Coturnix japonica: one gene and its partners. The protein of the gene in region 3 binds, or shares a complex with, the protein of the main gene of each other region. Links are inferred from orthologs where the notes say so. Each region holds a gene or a part of one and is shown on either strand. Other genes may lie near its edges.

Evidence for each region.
Region 1: RNF113A (region 3) and PPIL2 share a complex: the UniProt entries of both Homo sapiens proteins name them as parts of the minor spliceosome. The link is inferred for Coturnix japonica from reciprocal best matches to the Homo sapiens genes RNF113A and PPIL2.
Region 2: RNF113A (region 3) and spliceosome-associated protein CWC27 homolog share a complex: the UniProt entries of both Homo sapiens proteins name them as parts of the minor spliceosome. The link is inferred for Coturnix japonica from reciprocal best matches to the Homo sapiens genes RNF113A and CWC27.
Region 4: RNF113A (region 3) and CDC40 share a complex: the UniProt entries of both Homo sapiens proteins name them as parts of the pre-catalytic and catalytic spliceosome complex. The link is inferred for Coturnix japonica from reciprocal best matches to the Homo sapiens genes RNF113A and CDC40.

The regions. Positions count from the first base shown.
Region 1 is NC_029530.1:456,565-460,130, forward strand, and holds part of PPIL2 (RING-type E3 ubiquitin-protein ligase PPIL2), read right to left. Parts: intron 209-3,566; coding exon 91-208; intron 1-90. UniProt on the Homo sapiens protein: Has a ubiquitin-protein ligase activity acting as an E3 ubiquitin protein ligase or as an ubiquitin-ubiquitin ligase promoting elongation of ubiquitin chains on substrates.
Region 2 is NC_029547.1:21,417,320-21,421,577, reverse strand, and holds the start of spliceosome-associated protein CWC27 homolog, read right to left. Parts: upstream 2,843-4,258; coding exon 2,801-2,842; intron 2,157-2,800; coding exon 2,060-2,156; intron 1,600-2,059; coding exon 1,487-1,599; intron 1-1,486. Other genes in the region: protein SREK1IP1, read left to right, coding at 2,832-3,233, 4,196-4,256. UniProt on the Homo sapiens protein: As part of the spliceosome, plays a role in pre-mRNA splicing. Probable inactive PPIase with no peptidyl-prolyl cis-trans isomerase activity. As a component of the minor spliceosome, involved in the splicing of U12-type introns in pre-mRNAs.
Region 3 is NC_029542.1:2,233,400-2,236,965, reverse strand, and holds part of RNF113A (E3 ubiquitin-protein ligase RNF113A), read right to left. Parts: intron 2,852-3,566; coding exon 2,758-2,851; intron 2,349-2,757; coding exon 2,242-2,348; intron 1,806-2,241; coding exon 1,720-1,805; 3' UTR 1,546-1,719; intron 39-1,545; exon of another isoform or gene 1-38. UniProt on the Homo sapiens protein: Required for pre-mRNA splicing as component of the spliceosome. As a component of the minor spliceosome, involved in the splicing of U12-type introns in pre-mRNAs. E3 ubiquitin-protein ligase that catalyzes the transfer of ubiquitin onto target proteins.
Region 4 is NC_029518.1:60,620,718-60,624,283, reverse strand, and holds part of CDC40 (pre-mRNA-processing factor 17), read left to right. Parts: intron 1-689; coding exon 690-829; intron 830-1,455; coding exon 1,456-1,552; intron 1,553-2,997; coding exon 2,998-3,137; intron 3,138-3,566. UniProt on the Homo sapiens protein: Required for pre-mRNA splicing as component of the activated spliceosome. Plays an important role in embryonic brain development; this function does not require proline isomerization.

The DNA of each region.
Region 1 (3,566 bases), on a different chromosome or scaffold from region 3:
AGCTCATAAAATGTCATTTATTTTCTCCACAGCAGAAGGCACAATGTCCAGAAGGAAAATGTAAAATACAAAGTACAAGTGACAACTTACAACTGCGATTTGTTGGTGTTAGGCCCCGAATTGGCCATACTAAGGATACCACGTCCTGTATGGGACAAGTTGGGCTTGAATTCATCTTTAAATGGTTTTCCCCAATACGACTCTCCTCCTGAAAAAAAAGAAAAAATGATAGATGACATGTTTGTTTTCATTAGCCTCCCAGTACATCTTACATCAGACACCGGCAGTAAATTCCAAGTTCCTGGGGCTTCTGATTGCTGTGTTTGTAATATATTCCTACCTCATCCCTATGACTAGGCCAGTATCTGAGCACGCCCTTGAAATCAGATGTCTGTAACCAGCAATACAATTCTGTGCCTCCGCACCACTATCATCTGCAACAGATGAGACTGTTTATCAGCAGCATTACGTATCATGTGGCAAAGAACTGCCGAGGATTCATTTATTTGTACTGCTCATCCACCACAGTGTTTCTTTTTTGAGACATTCAGTCTTCAAGTGTGGTTGACTGAAAAAAGACAGGGAGCAAAGAATTACTGATTTAACTGCACTCTGGATACAGCAATTCTTCCAAAATTATAACATTAGGGAGATGGAATATGTTTACAGCATCAACTAAGAATAGGGACTACAAGCTCAAAAGCTTCTGGATAAACAATGAAAAAAAGATGATTTATATTCCTTCAAAATAAATAGATATCTCAGACTAGATACATGGATGATGTAAACCCTTAAATACAATTAAGTCTGTGGATGATAAAACTTTGTGCCAGCCACAGACCCAGCCCTCAAAACTGATTTCTGCATCTGTGGATAGAAAAGAGGGTCCGTGAGACTTCTCCAGGCTGTCATTTTTACATTATTTATGACAGACCTGCCATTTTCATTTGCACTTTCCTCCAGGATCGTTCTTAATAAGAAAAACGAAGGCTGAGATGAGTCACAATTTTACGGCCAAATCCATAATCTTGCTTGACAAACCATGAAAAATATATCACCTTAGGACAGGATTAAAAATAAAACAAACACAAGTACCCAGACAGGCATCAAAGACTGGTCCATGTGCAGAACCACTCAAGAGTCCTCTTGAGTCACTGAATCACTTACAGAGCAGAGGTCAGTAAAAGACCTGCAGCATGCAGTGGCTACTTGCACATGTAACACACAGAGGCTACTTGATGACACAGCTGCACGGACAAGCAGCAAATTAAGTGAGAGCATAAAACAAATTCCTACTGAAAACCACGTGTGGAAAATCACAAGTGTGCATCAAACGAGAGCAGAGTTCCAGATGATACCACCAGAACAATGACTCACAGGTGGGCAGCTGCAGGTGGAATTAACTAACCCAGCAATTCTGGAAGAAAATGACCCACTTAAAAACCCAATTAATCATGTTCAAAAGACCTATTAATAGAGTTGAGTGCTGCCCACTCTGCAGTTTTACAAGAGGAAGCAAAAGAGTACAAACCCTGCAGGACTTTCTGTAATCAGGAGGAGAAAAGGAGCCACTACTTCAATTCAGCTCAATTACATCAGCTTGATTCTGTACAACAACCCCCTCCCACACTGCCTGAAAGGTGCACGGTAAAGCTGCAGCACACCCTGCCGTCATGAAGATGGATCCCAGCACCAGCTCTTCTGGCCAAATCGCATTCAGCCTACTACAAAATGCCAACATTTTGCTTTGATAATGAATATCCCTGTGTGTTTCTATGGGAGGTCACTCGTGTACTGCCTATTACCTGCCTCACTCTGTAGTTGCACACAAACAAGCAGGGATTGGAATGCAGCAGGGCTGCACGTGCTGCCCAAAACCAACAGCACACCTGCACAGCATGCAGGCTCCACTGGCTGCACTGTGCTCTGTGCACTGCATTCCTCTCCCACTTTGCCTTGCTCAGCTCTGCCCGTCGCACTGCAGCCATCCAGACACAGCCTGCAGCCCTGCAGCCTTGGCCCCACTCCTCACCAGCACTGCAGCTCACACACCTCTGCCCCCAGACACACTCATGTTCCACACTCCCTTCCAGAAATAGGTAACATTGCTTCAAAGGATGTCCTGAAGGAACTCCTCATCATTTGCAAAGCAGATGCACTATCAGCCTTAACCCAGAGGAGTAGAAATTCTCAGATGATATGCAAACATAAGCAGATGCGATGGAGATGGCATGTAGCAGCAAGCGGCCGAAGCCCCGAGCCTGCTGCACCCTTCACAGGTTCAGCAGATGCTGAATGATGGCCTCATCAGGCTGCTGGAGGTGGTGGAATGGAGATGGGTGCAAGGCCTGGCAGCACGGCTGTCACGGTGAGGTGGGGATGCAGCGAAGGTGCTGAGACACCAATGGAATAGATGGAATTGGAATGATTTTACTTTATTCTTCAAACACAAGAACCAAACGTTTTCCCTTTAAATTAAAAATGGCCAATTAAAAATTGCTGTTTGTCAAACAATTCCTGACCTCTGGAATTGTTCCAAGCTTCCAGCATCTACATGAAGCAGCAGCCAGAAGACAGCGAGTTAAAAGGACTATGTTTTTAATTACTGAAACCCAGAATCACTTTCTCCATGAGAATTAAGCACAAATCCCTCATTAGCCTACTGGCACAGCAGCACAGTGCCTAATGCTCAGCCAGCACAGCCTGGAACAGGAATTATAGACCTTTGCATTTTCCATTATATAGAAGAGCTCAATGTAAGTTTGAGAAAACAGCTCACAGGCCACAAGCCGGCACTGATAAAGATGAGGCATTCTGAAGTACCAAACAGACTGCACTGTGTTTATTCTCAGCATGGCTGGGAGGCGTGGATGTGCCACCTCCACTGCGACCAACAGCAGAGCGGCTGCAAACAGAGCAGGAGGAGGTGGAACCGTGTGGTCATTCCCTGCACATGCCATAAGCAGAGCAGGCTCCTCCTTTATCCCCCAGATTTTCCTCTGAGGTTGCATAGATCACCAGTGACTATATATGGAAACCCTATGATGCAAAATCTGAACCCAAAGCCAACTTCCCAGGCCGCAAGCAGAGCCCATGGAAAACAAGAATCGTGTCTGGGTGTTCCATTCAGCGCTGCCTGGCACTCACCTGCCCCACACTTTGCCCCCAGATAAGATAATCTTCTGTCACAGTGGAATCGTGCCCCTGTGCACTTGAAATGTTATTGAGCTGCCATTACAGGAAGTGCTGTAAAATACTTTGGAGACTTCTGTGCCAAAATCAAAGAGGTTCACAAGGGAGCAGACAGGGCTTCACTCTGGACCAGGACTGGGAAGGTGACAGCTGAGCTGTGACTGTGCCCTGGAGCAAGGTTAGTTATCCAGCCTCATTTCCGCATACTGTGCTAATAGGAAAGGTGAATAGATATCACCTGCCAAATGCAGCAATCAAATATTAGTAAGTATAAAAGTCATATTTTCAGATTGTGTTTCAAACTAAAAATAGCTTCGGTAGTCTCTCCTTTCAAATGACTTTTTCAGTAATCATCTATTTCATTATTATTTTTG
Region 2 (4,258 bases), on a different chromosome or scaffold from region 3:
CAGGACCATGAGAAAACAAAAGAGGGCACCAAATGAAGATGATATTGATAAGTAATGCATTAATACCACAGTAGTATAAAACTCCTAAGTGCTTTCACACTTAACAATAATACCAAATTAAAGAAGTGTTGTTACTACAGTATTAGAAACATTTGTTTTGATGTTTTCTCAGGCAGCGATCCCTCCCACAAACTTCAGATTTGCATTACAATTACAGCTGTTGGACTGAAGGCCCAGAAAGGTCACACAGGTTCAGTCGCCAGCTAAAGATGTTTACCCTATCTGAAATTCTGAACCAGAACTAGAGCACAGCTACTGTGCATGTGTAACCTCACTCAGAATCTGAAGACCCTGACCAAGAGATGAGATGTGCTACTATCAGTAATACTAGTGACTACATTTACAGACCTTTGCCAGTTCAGGTAAAATGTACATAACTCACATTTCTGCTCCTCAGTTTGACACACAAATCCATAGAATGCTTTGGGACCTTATATATCACCCAGTTCCAACCCCCTGTCATGGGCAGGGTTACCTCTCACTAGACTGGGTTATCCAAAGCCCCATCCAGCCTGGCCTTAAGCACTCACAGGGATGACGCATCCATAGCTTTTGCAGGCCATCTGTTCATTGCCTTATCACTTTCTGAGTTAAGAATTTCTTCCTAATGTCTAACTTAAATCTACTGTACAAAATACCCCTATCTTTTATCACTCCCTGACAAAGAGTCCTTCTTCAGCTTTCCTGTAGGTCCCCTTTAGGTACTGGAAGACCATTGTATGGCCTCTGCAGACTCCTCTCTTCTCCAAGCTGAACAAGTCCAGCTCCCTTAACCATTCTTCACAGATGTGCTCCTGCCCTCTGATCACCTTTGTGGCATCCTCTGGGCCTGCTTCCTATGTTCCTTCTTGTGCTGGAGACTCTAGACCTGCATGAAATAGTTTAGATGGGGCCTCATGAGGGCAGAGCAGAGGACAGCCATGTCCCCCTTTCAGTGAAGCCCAGGATACAGTCAGCCTTCTGGGCTGCATTTCCCACTGTGGGCTCACACTGAGTTTCTCATCAACCAGCACCCCTCACAGCTGCTCTCAATCCATTCTCTGCTCAGCCTGTACTTGTGCTTAGGATTGTCCCGATATAGGAGCAGGACACTGCACTTGTTCTTGTTTAACTTTATGAAGTTAAAACACTTGCTCTGAACAGTTTTCTCTCCTAGTTTTATCTTGTTGAAGTGAACATTAATAGGGTTATACGTTTATCACAGAACTGAAACAGACAGATTTAAGAACACTCAATTCTAAAATGCACATTCAAAAATATTGAAGCATGTGCAAATTTAGAATATGAATGAACTTTAGCATAAAATATAGAATAAACTGCATTCCTTATACAAAATTTGTTTACTCAAAAAATTCACACACAGTAGCAAGGACAACTGCCAGAGACTAAGCAAACATCAACATGCACAAGATATACAGCTACATACCTTGAAGGGAGCTCCATAGATTGAATCTCCACCTGACCCAGTACCAGTGGGATCACCTCCCTGCACTATAAAACCTGGCACAACTCTGTGAAATATTGTATTATTGTAATACTCTAAAAAAGAAAGAGAAAATACATTAAATACATTTAAGTTATCTAAAATCACACCTCAATAGAGATTATGCAGACATATCAGTGACTCATGAAGAAATGAACATGCAGTAAGCACATGATACAGGAATGACCTTAACAGGAGAAGTCCAAACACAGCATCACTGACATTTTCTACGTTCATTAAAGCTGCAATACTTTGTATAAACTTCCTGAAGACAAGCCTTCCTAAACATGTGACAACTCCTACATCTAAGAAAACCACCAAAAAATTGTACTTTTCACATCCATTGGTTTCCTTAATGACTTTAAAAAAACGTTCTTGGTCTGGATAGCAGATAATATAAATAATTAGTTAACATATTAAAACTTACTTATGACCTACCTTTTCCATAACTGTCACCAAAATACCAATATTGCACATGAAATAATTCTAACAAGTCCTACCCCATTTTGCCATTACCTTCCATACAAAGCTGGATAAAATTTCGACATGCTTTTGGTGCTTCTTTTGACCACAATTCTATATCGATATCTCCTGCTGTAGTTCTCAGCAAGACCTGCAAAATTTTTATAAACAAACCATTAGTTTTATTGCAACTTAGACACTAATAAACAAATATTACTACTAAGTTAAAAAACACTCCTAAATTCATAACATTAACAACAGCCGTAGATAAGTAGTAAGCAGGAGTCGGACTTGTTCTGGAGAAGGCTCCTGGGAGACCTCACTACAGCCTTCCAGTATTTAAAGTAAGGATATAAACAAGAAGGAAACCAATTTTTTACATGCGTAGTTAGTGACAGGACAAGGGCGGATGGTTTTAAAGTGGAAGAGAGAAGATTTAGATTGGCTGAGTGGCAAAAGTTATTTACTCAGAGGGTGGTGAGGCACTGCCCAGAGAAGCAGTGGGTGCTCCATCCCTGGAGGAGTCAAGGCCATGCTGGATGGGGCGCTGGGCAGCCTGAGCTGGTGGGGGATGACAACTAACGGAGGGTAGAATATTAAATACTCTTAGTATTTCCACAGTGAGACAACACAGAAAAGGAATATGCCTTAAACCTCTAGCGGCACGCTCTTATTACAAGAGACATCAATACAGATCAATAAATGCGAATTCCTATCAAAGCGGTAAACATAAGCGTCCGAGAGCGATAACACCGGACTCGTGCCCCTCGCCCTCGCTGCCCGCAGGATCCTCACCTTGCCGTTGGTGGGGGGCTCCTGGATGTAGATGTTGCTCATGCTGAGGAAGGGGTGTCGTGGCGGAACGCACCGCCCGAGCCCAACGCTAACAACACTGCCTCTCTACCCGCGCTACTGCCCGCAGCCCGCCGCCATCTTGGGCGCCTCTACACAGTACAATGTGGCGGGGGGAAGGTGTGACTGCTCAGAGCTGTGGGAGAAAGAATTGCTCCTCCGATGGGGGAATCACTCAGTGAATTCTTTCCGAAAGGATGTGAAGGCTTTTCCAGACACCTCCGCTCGCTTCTCGTCGCCCCGGCTCGGTACTGAGCACCCCGTCCTCCCCGCGAGTGGCGCGGCCCGAGAGTGCTCCGGCCAAATCCTTCCGGCGGGGACAGGCGCTGCGTTGTTCCTGGGCCCGGCTGTGTGGAGGACGCCATGGCTCTGCCGGGTGAGGAGAGCCGCGGGGCTGCGGGGCGGATGGCTGGGAGGCGTGCGGAGGGGGAGGGTCGGCAGCGCTGTTCGTGAGGTGGTGGGGCCCGAGGAGCGGCTTGCGGTGCGTTTCCCAGCCTGCAGAGCTGCAATGGTACGGCGGGGCTGGGGGCTCCAGCAGCCCTCCTGCGCTCCGTATGCGGCCCTCGCCTGTAGTTTTGTGGGTGCTGAGGCCCACGGCTGCGCTCCTGCCTTCTGCAGGTGTACGCTGCCTTCCTTAGGGGTCCCAAGAATGGCATCGTTCCGCATGTTTTTTTTCTCCTTGTGCCCCAGATTAGCGCCTGCCTGCAGCTAGGTTGTTTAAATGAAGGGTTTAAGAGCAGTGGTGCAGCCAGCGCGGGCAGAAATTGTGTATTTCACCAGGTATTCAGCCTGTGTCATCCTGAGGTATGGGTTTGACTGGAGAAAATTGAGTAAGCTTGAACCTTGCTGTGAGTTCAACAGCAAACCATGGGACTTCAAGGCTCCTCTGGTTCTTTTAGTAGGATTTACTAAAGATGGTACTTCTCTTAATAAATCAAAATTTAAACTCGTGATGCTGATGTACCCCCTTTCTGGTTCCCTAATTTCATAGTTTTCTTCTTATGTTAGGTTGATTATTTAAATAAAGGAACTAGTTTTATGGAAAGCTGTGTATACAACTGTTTAATTTTCCATATTTTTCATACTGGATAGAAAGATACCCTTTGATTTTGGAAATGCTGTTTTGCTTAGAATTATGAATTGACTCAGCAATCCTTTTGTGGGCAACAGGTCTCCAGGCTTTGTCTTGTGAGTTAGATCTTGCTGATCTTCTTAACTGAGGGCGTAGGCACAAAGAGCAACTTTGCCTAAATCCAGAAGAGTTACTAAGCCAGATTTAAAGGGAACTTTTAAGACTTATGTTTAGTAACAAGTGATTGATGAAATTTTCTGTTTCAGGTGCAAATAAGGATAACATCAGAGCAGGATGCAAGAAATGTGGCTACCGTAAGTCTATATAGT
Region 3 (3,566 bases):
CCCTTGTTTCTAAAAAGGATTGGCTTCCTCGTCTCACAGGTGAAGGCTGCACGACCCTATTTTTTTATATGTATTTTTTAAAGGGTGCCTTAGAGTTAAGAAGGGGAGGAAAGCAGTTCTTAGTTTTGGGCATTTTCTTAGAGCTAGTCGGATTTGTGTTGTTACTGGGTAACTTCTGAGGGTGCAGAAAGGAGTGCATTCTTAAGCTTGGTCACTTCTTTATGGTGGAAAATGAGAACCAGAAGGTAACCTGAGGCTGTCGCGGGCACATTCACTGCACTGGGCTTTCCTCTGCACTTCTGAGCTCTGCTCCAGCTCTGGAGAGAGCTTTTAAGACTCCTCTCAGTTGAGGCTGTGTGCTCTGAGCTCCAGGTCAGATGCCATCCCCATCTCCTCCCATGGCTGCCTGGGTCATCAAATCCTAATGTGTAATTCTGTGCAACATACCAGCTTTTCTAACCTCCCACAGCACATCCAGCTCAGCCTCCTGTTAGCTGGGCTGCTTTTACAGCATGGAATATCCATACCAGCCCGTGCTCAGTGACTTGGCATGGAGGGAAAGTAATTTTCACACCAAATCCTCTTACTCACAAAACACCTCTTTGAATGTTACGCTCACTGATCTAAGCCCTCTGTTGCCATTGCTGTACCATCATCCCCAAATGAATGAGATATAAAAATCCTTTGCTTGCTTTTCACACAGCTTCCCTTGATCCCTGGCTGTGACAGCTCACAGCATTTGGTTTTGGAGGCGTGTTTAAGGCTTTTTAGTTTGACCTTTCCAAGGACCACAGGTGCTGGAGCTCTTTCCACTCTCAAATGAAGCACTGGGATTCCAGCCCTGTAAGCGTGCTTGATGGGAGGAGCGGTGCTGACAGCAGGTCCTTCTGTTTGTAAACGACTTGAAGCCAGATGAAATTTGTTACTCTAGTTTTTGGGTTTTTTTTTTTTTTTTTTCCAAAATAAAATATTTCTGAAGTTTGTAAGTCTGCTGTTTCTGCAGGGTGATGGAAGCTTATGCTCTTCTCAGCTCCATACTTAGGAGGTTGCATCTTGCAGTTCAACCCATTGTGAAGTTTCCTTCTTGCCCAAATTCTTATCCCCATCCCACAGGCCTGGACAGAGCTGGTTGCAGCAAGGGAAAAATCATTGAGAGAAGTACCACTGATGGCATAAAACCTTGCATTAGGGACATGGTACAGCTGCTGGCTTCCTCCCCAAGGGATGATTCCACAGTGGTATCACTCTCTGAAGTCCTGAATCCTGTTTGATGTTACTTTAAGCTCTTGACTTCTAGAGATCAAAAGGCAGCAGAAAAGATGGGAGGGAATACGCTCCTCTGAGCTGCAATAAATCACAACTAACTGCAGCAGTCTGGCTTACCTCCCAAACAGCATTTCCAAAGTGACAGATAAACTTGGTACAAGCCAATAGTTTTCATTCTTCTCTCTGCTTTTAGCATTTGATTTGACTGAACAAAATTCAGACCCTCCCTCCCCAGGCCCTCGTGGTCCTACTAATGGCACAGAAGACAACTCAGCTTACCCATTCTGTCCTGTGTCTTCTCTGACAACTGGCACCACTCGTGCCCCCATTTTAACAAGGCCTGGTTGGATGAACCACCAATGGCTGCAGCTGCTGGCCCAAAGGCAAGTGCTGTGATCTGTGCATTCTTCCCATGAAAACTTTATTGGGCTCCATACAAAACAGAGTGCTTTGCTAGTGTGGGTCTTCACCATGTTCTGAGTGGTCTGACTCCTCCTCTTCCTCCTCCCCTTTGTGTTTTTCCAATTTTGCCATGAGCTCTGAAAAGCAGGAAGATGCAGGATGAGATTCCAGGTGCAACATGGAATGGCCAGTAGCAAAGCTGGATGCCCAGGACCTGCCAACACAGCTCTGTCCTGGAACCAAAGCACCTACCAAAAATCACTCATCTGCACAAAAGCTAAGCCAGGAACTACCACCAAACACTGAGCCCTTCAGTGGGGCTTCAGATGCTAAAGTTCCAGGCTCTGTCAGTGGATTACTGACCAGAAGAGCTACTGTCTGCACTCCCAGCACCCTCACCAGAAATCAGTCTCCCCCTCTGGGCAAACACAAACACTCTTTTTTTACCCCTGTGGTGGCACCCAGGCCCTGATGTGGTGTTTCCAAGCACTGAGAGAAGTTCTGCCTGTGAGCTCCACCTTGCAGCCGAATGCTGTGATCATACAGCAGCTCTATCCCACAGGTGGCCGTTACCTTTGGCTGGGTTGAAGACTCCATTGGTCTGCTTATCACACACGTAACAGCGCTGGGATTTGCGATAGTGTTGGAGGGCACAGCTCTCACAGAAGTAATGCCTGCACCTGTATGGAGAAACAGACGGTACTGCCAGTCACCAGATACAACTGCTGCATCCAGGAGTTAGAGATCATCAACTACTGAGCCCTGAGGGATGCAAAAATAAGCTGGATGTACAGAGCCCTATGCAGCATCAGCTCTCCCAGAGACAGCACAGGTGCAAGGTGATGTGATCAGGCAGCATCTATAGAAATATAAAAGGTTCTTGGACAACAAAGGCTTGAGACCCCACCAAGTTGATGCTTGAGATGTAGTTATGAAACTCCCTGCATAGCAGAGGCTTTCCCCACCCACCAGAAAAGCAAACAAGCGTGCTCCTTCCACCAGCATGTGGACAATGCCAGTGTTTGCTACCAAAGAGAATGACTGACTGACTGAAGGACTCAGCCCACTACAGATGTTTTGGCTCCTTACTTGGTGACCACGGGGTTCTTGAAGGAACTTCTGCAGATGAAGCATTTGAAAGGCATATCCTCCTCATCGCTGCTCACCTCATAGTTCTCTTCATCTGCACGAGGGAAAATTAACCAGACTGGAACAAGAGCAGAGGCAGCCAGGCCAGCAGATGCACAGGGCATGAAATATGGAACATGGAGAAAGTACAGCAGGTGGGATGGACTCTGCTGGAAACAACAGCATCTGGGTGTCACTGATGTCAGTAACGTGTGTGGGATTGAGATATAATTAGGTCTAATGAGCCAGTGTGCTCGTTGCTCATCTCACAGGAGCACATTTTGTGCGACACCCACTTGCTGCTATAAACAGACTCATCCTCCAGTTCCTTATTTTTCACATTTTTTTCCAAAACAGCTGCTATTGAACTCTTCAACTCAGAGAACATCCCCTGCAGCTGCCCAGCAGTTCATAAGCTACACTTGGCTGCATCCCTGGGCCACAGATATGGATTCTGAGTGAGAAACAGGGATGTGACAAAGCATGAAAGCATTCCATCTGTGCTGCAGGAGATGGCTCTATCTATCTCCCCATCTCCACGCTGCTTGCTGCTGGGATTCATACAACAACAGACTGCTATATTTTGTATAGACAGACAGAGCAAATTATCCCCCCTGGTAGCAGTCAGTGGTAATCTGAAAGCAGCAGATTTGCACAGCACTGGCAGTTGTTATTGGAGCTAAGGTAACTCCACAGCAGAGAGTTCCATAGCTTTGTGGAATGAGGAATTCTCTCCATCTAATCAACCCATTGCTTGTGCAGTTTGAGAC
Region 4 (3,566 bases), on a different chromosome or scaffold from region 3:
TCTTTGTTTACAAAAAATCCTTTCTGTCTCCCTTTCCCTAGAGGAGTATTACTGATGCTGTAGGAAAGCATTATGTGAAAAATGCACGCTGGTTTTGATGGATGAAGTTCTTAGGGCACAGAATTTGTGATAAGCTGGCATTTATATGAAAGAGTAGGATGGTGTTCAGAAATAGATAACTGAATTTTAACTGAATTACAGCAGGCAGTTGTAATTGAGATTTGAGGAGATTTTTATGTTTGGTTGTTTGTTGGTTTTTGTTGTTTTTTTTTTTAATTTTTCTTTTTGCTTCCTTGTGGATTTTGTTTAAAACTGACAGAGGTGGGGAGGGGGGGGGTCAGGAGCTCTAATTTTTCCAAGTCTGCACTATTTAAAGTATGAAAATCAATACATTCGTGCAGTCTGCAGACGTAGTGATACAAATGCATGGGCACATATTTGATGAAATACTAGTTTTTAGTGGCTCTCCTGTTACTGTACATGTAGCAGTGTTCATAATTTAATAAGTCAGCAGTGCTTTGGCCCCTAAGTGTGTTCTCCATTTTCCTGTGTGTGTTGGATGGAGTGATGGTGATAGTGTTGTTGTGTGGTGGTGGTGGTGTTTGTTTTAGATTGTTGTGATGAGACCTATGATGCTGAGGCATGTTATCTGTATGAGCAGCTAAGCAGTGTATTGTTTCTTTCTCTAGGTTTAACAGTGTTTGAAACGGGACAAAAGAAAATTGAAAAAAGGAAGAAATTCAAGGAGAATGATGCATCTAACATTGATGGTTTTCTGGGACCATGGGCGAAGTACGTTGACGAAAAAGAAGTAGCCAAACCTTCAGAAGTAAGTACTGCTTTAAGACTGTAAACACAAACTGCTAGTGCATCGTGATGCAATAATATATTATGTGGTGGTTTTAATAGAGATCCAGTGTGTCTCAACCAGAAGGTGTGCTTTAGGGTGATAGAAACATTCCCAGTTCTAACGGTGAATAGGGGGGTTCTGAATGTTGTGCATTCCATTGTATTGAAAGACTGGAAATAGAATGAATTATATCTGTGTGTTACATGTAGAGTCTGACGAAAGATCCTTATAAACAGGAGCAACTTGGAAAGAAATGAAAGTAAATTTATATTTATTTTAAGGAAAAGGGAGATTGGTCTTTTTGTTGTTGTTCTTTTCTTTAAAGCAACAACACAACCAATAAATGTCCTTCACATTGAGTCCATGGTGCTTAGCCATAGTCTGTAAATAAAATGATTATATTTAATTATTTTCAGTGTACTTAGCTTTTCAAGCTAATCTGCTTTTGATAAAGGTATTCTATTGATGCTTAGAAATATTTCTGATCTCACTTAGCAATATGTGTATTCTTAATAGCAAATAAACAGTAATGCAGTTTTGGATTTTGTTAAATCGTTCTGAACGTTTATTTTGTTAAAAGTCAAGATCATGTTTTATTTTTCCAGGAAGAACAGAAGGAGTTGGATGAAATAACAGCTAAGAGGCAGAAGAGAGGAAAACTAGAAGATGATAAACCTGGAGAGGAGAAGACTATATTACACGGTAATGGCATCTTCCTGCCTGTTCTCATTTTCCTGCACACCGTGTTTTCTTGCCTGCTGTGTTAATTAGTAAGGATGGCAGACAGCCTCAGCAAAACTGCTGAGGCACCTTGATGTTTCTGTTTTGGAGATAATAGCACTCACAGGCATAAGCATAAAGGGCAAGGAAAGAGATAAGCTTGGACCAATTCCACATCATACTGTGAAGAGCAGCGTGGAAATGTCATCTTTCAGGGTACTGGTTTTATTTATTTCTTTTTAATCTCAGTAGGTATGCATATCTTCTTCATATTATAGAAAGGAAAAAAACGGTGAGATTATGTGCTTGGTTTAGCCTGAGCTTCGGAATGACCACAGTTTTGTCTTTTGGTACTTTTATCAGCAAGTAGTGCTTTGAATTACAGACATAACATTTAGAAAATCACTTGGACCCTGTACTTCCTCCATTCTTAATGTGAACATTCTTGCTATCATACTATGAATAATTATTTATCAAATGATTACCCTGTTGAGGCCTATAGCATACGATAACCTCAAAGAAAAACATGAGAAAATAAAGTAAGTAAAATTAAGTGATTTTTGGAAACTGTTGTTTCATCTGTCTGTATGCAAAACTGTCCTACGTGGCAACACTTGGCACAGGTAGTTCCACCTGTCTGTGTACCATCACCTAAAGTTTCACAGTCGAAGTCCTTACAAGATAAATTTTAATCTTCTCAAACTGAAGCCTTCCAGAAAAAAACACTGCTCTGTAGACACCTTCAGACATTGATGCTGAGCAGAAGGTCATTTGTACAAGCAAAACAGTCATATCAATACCCAAGAAACATAAATTAATTAAATCAGCGCACATCTTAATGTCAACAGATGAGTCTACTTTGGAATATCAATTTACAGGACAATGCACCCTGCATGTGTGAGCATCCAGGCACTTCTGCGAAATCTAGTTAAAGAACAGATGTTAGCTGCTGACTGCTATTGGTGGAGCAGTTGGTTCATATTGATGAAGGATCTTTTTTTTCTCTGATTTGCAATTCTACTGAAATGACTGTTAAAGCACAGAGCCCGGTGGAATGTAAATTGCAAGCAAATGCCAGAGTTAGAGTGCAGGTTATAAACTGTGTGGAGTTAGTGCGAGCAAACCCCTATTGTCTTCAGGAACACTGTGGCATTTTGAGGTAAGCTGGGTAAGGGGGAGATTGTTTTGTTCAAATTATCAGCTTCCAATCAGATTTGCTGAAATGGCTTCATTTAAGTACAACTCATCAGAATCCATATCCTATGACATGGATTTATTTTCTTATCATCCCTCTTCCCACCCTTCTTCAGAGCAAGTCAGCTGTGTTGAAAAAAGCCTTAAATATGTGTTAGTTGAATCTTCCTAAGATTATTACCCCTTAAAATACAATCTCTGAGATTCTCTGAATTCTCCATTTACCTTTTTAGTTAAAGAAATGTACGACTATCAGGGGAGATCTTACCTTCATGTTCCTCAAGATGTTGGAGTTAATCTCCGTTCCACAATGCCACCTGAGAAGTGCTATCTTCCAAAGAAACAAATCCATGTATGGTCTGGACATACAAAGGTAGGAAGTTTTGGAATGTACCTCATAAAAATGCACTTTGTTTTCAATCTGAACTTATATAAAACTGAATCATTGGTAGAAGAAACAGAGGTTTTTTCTCGTTTATGACATCGTGCACACAGTTGGCAGCATTATACACCTGCACAAGGTGTTCACATGGTCAGATATGATTGTTTGTGATATCTGTATAAACTTTTTTCATGAGCATCCCCACATCTTTTGAAGGAACGAATATTCTTCATTCACCTTTGCGGGGTTTTGAGTTATTTACTAAATTGCCACGTGAATAAGAGAAAGACTAATTCTAGAGATAACAGAAAATGCATTTGTAGACTAGAAGTACTTAAATGCTATTTCACATCAAACCAATGAAAAGTTGAATAGGTTTTGTCATTGTAATACATAACAGGATTCCTAAACATGATTATT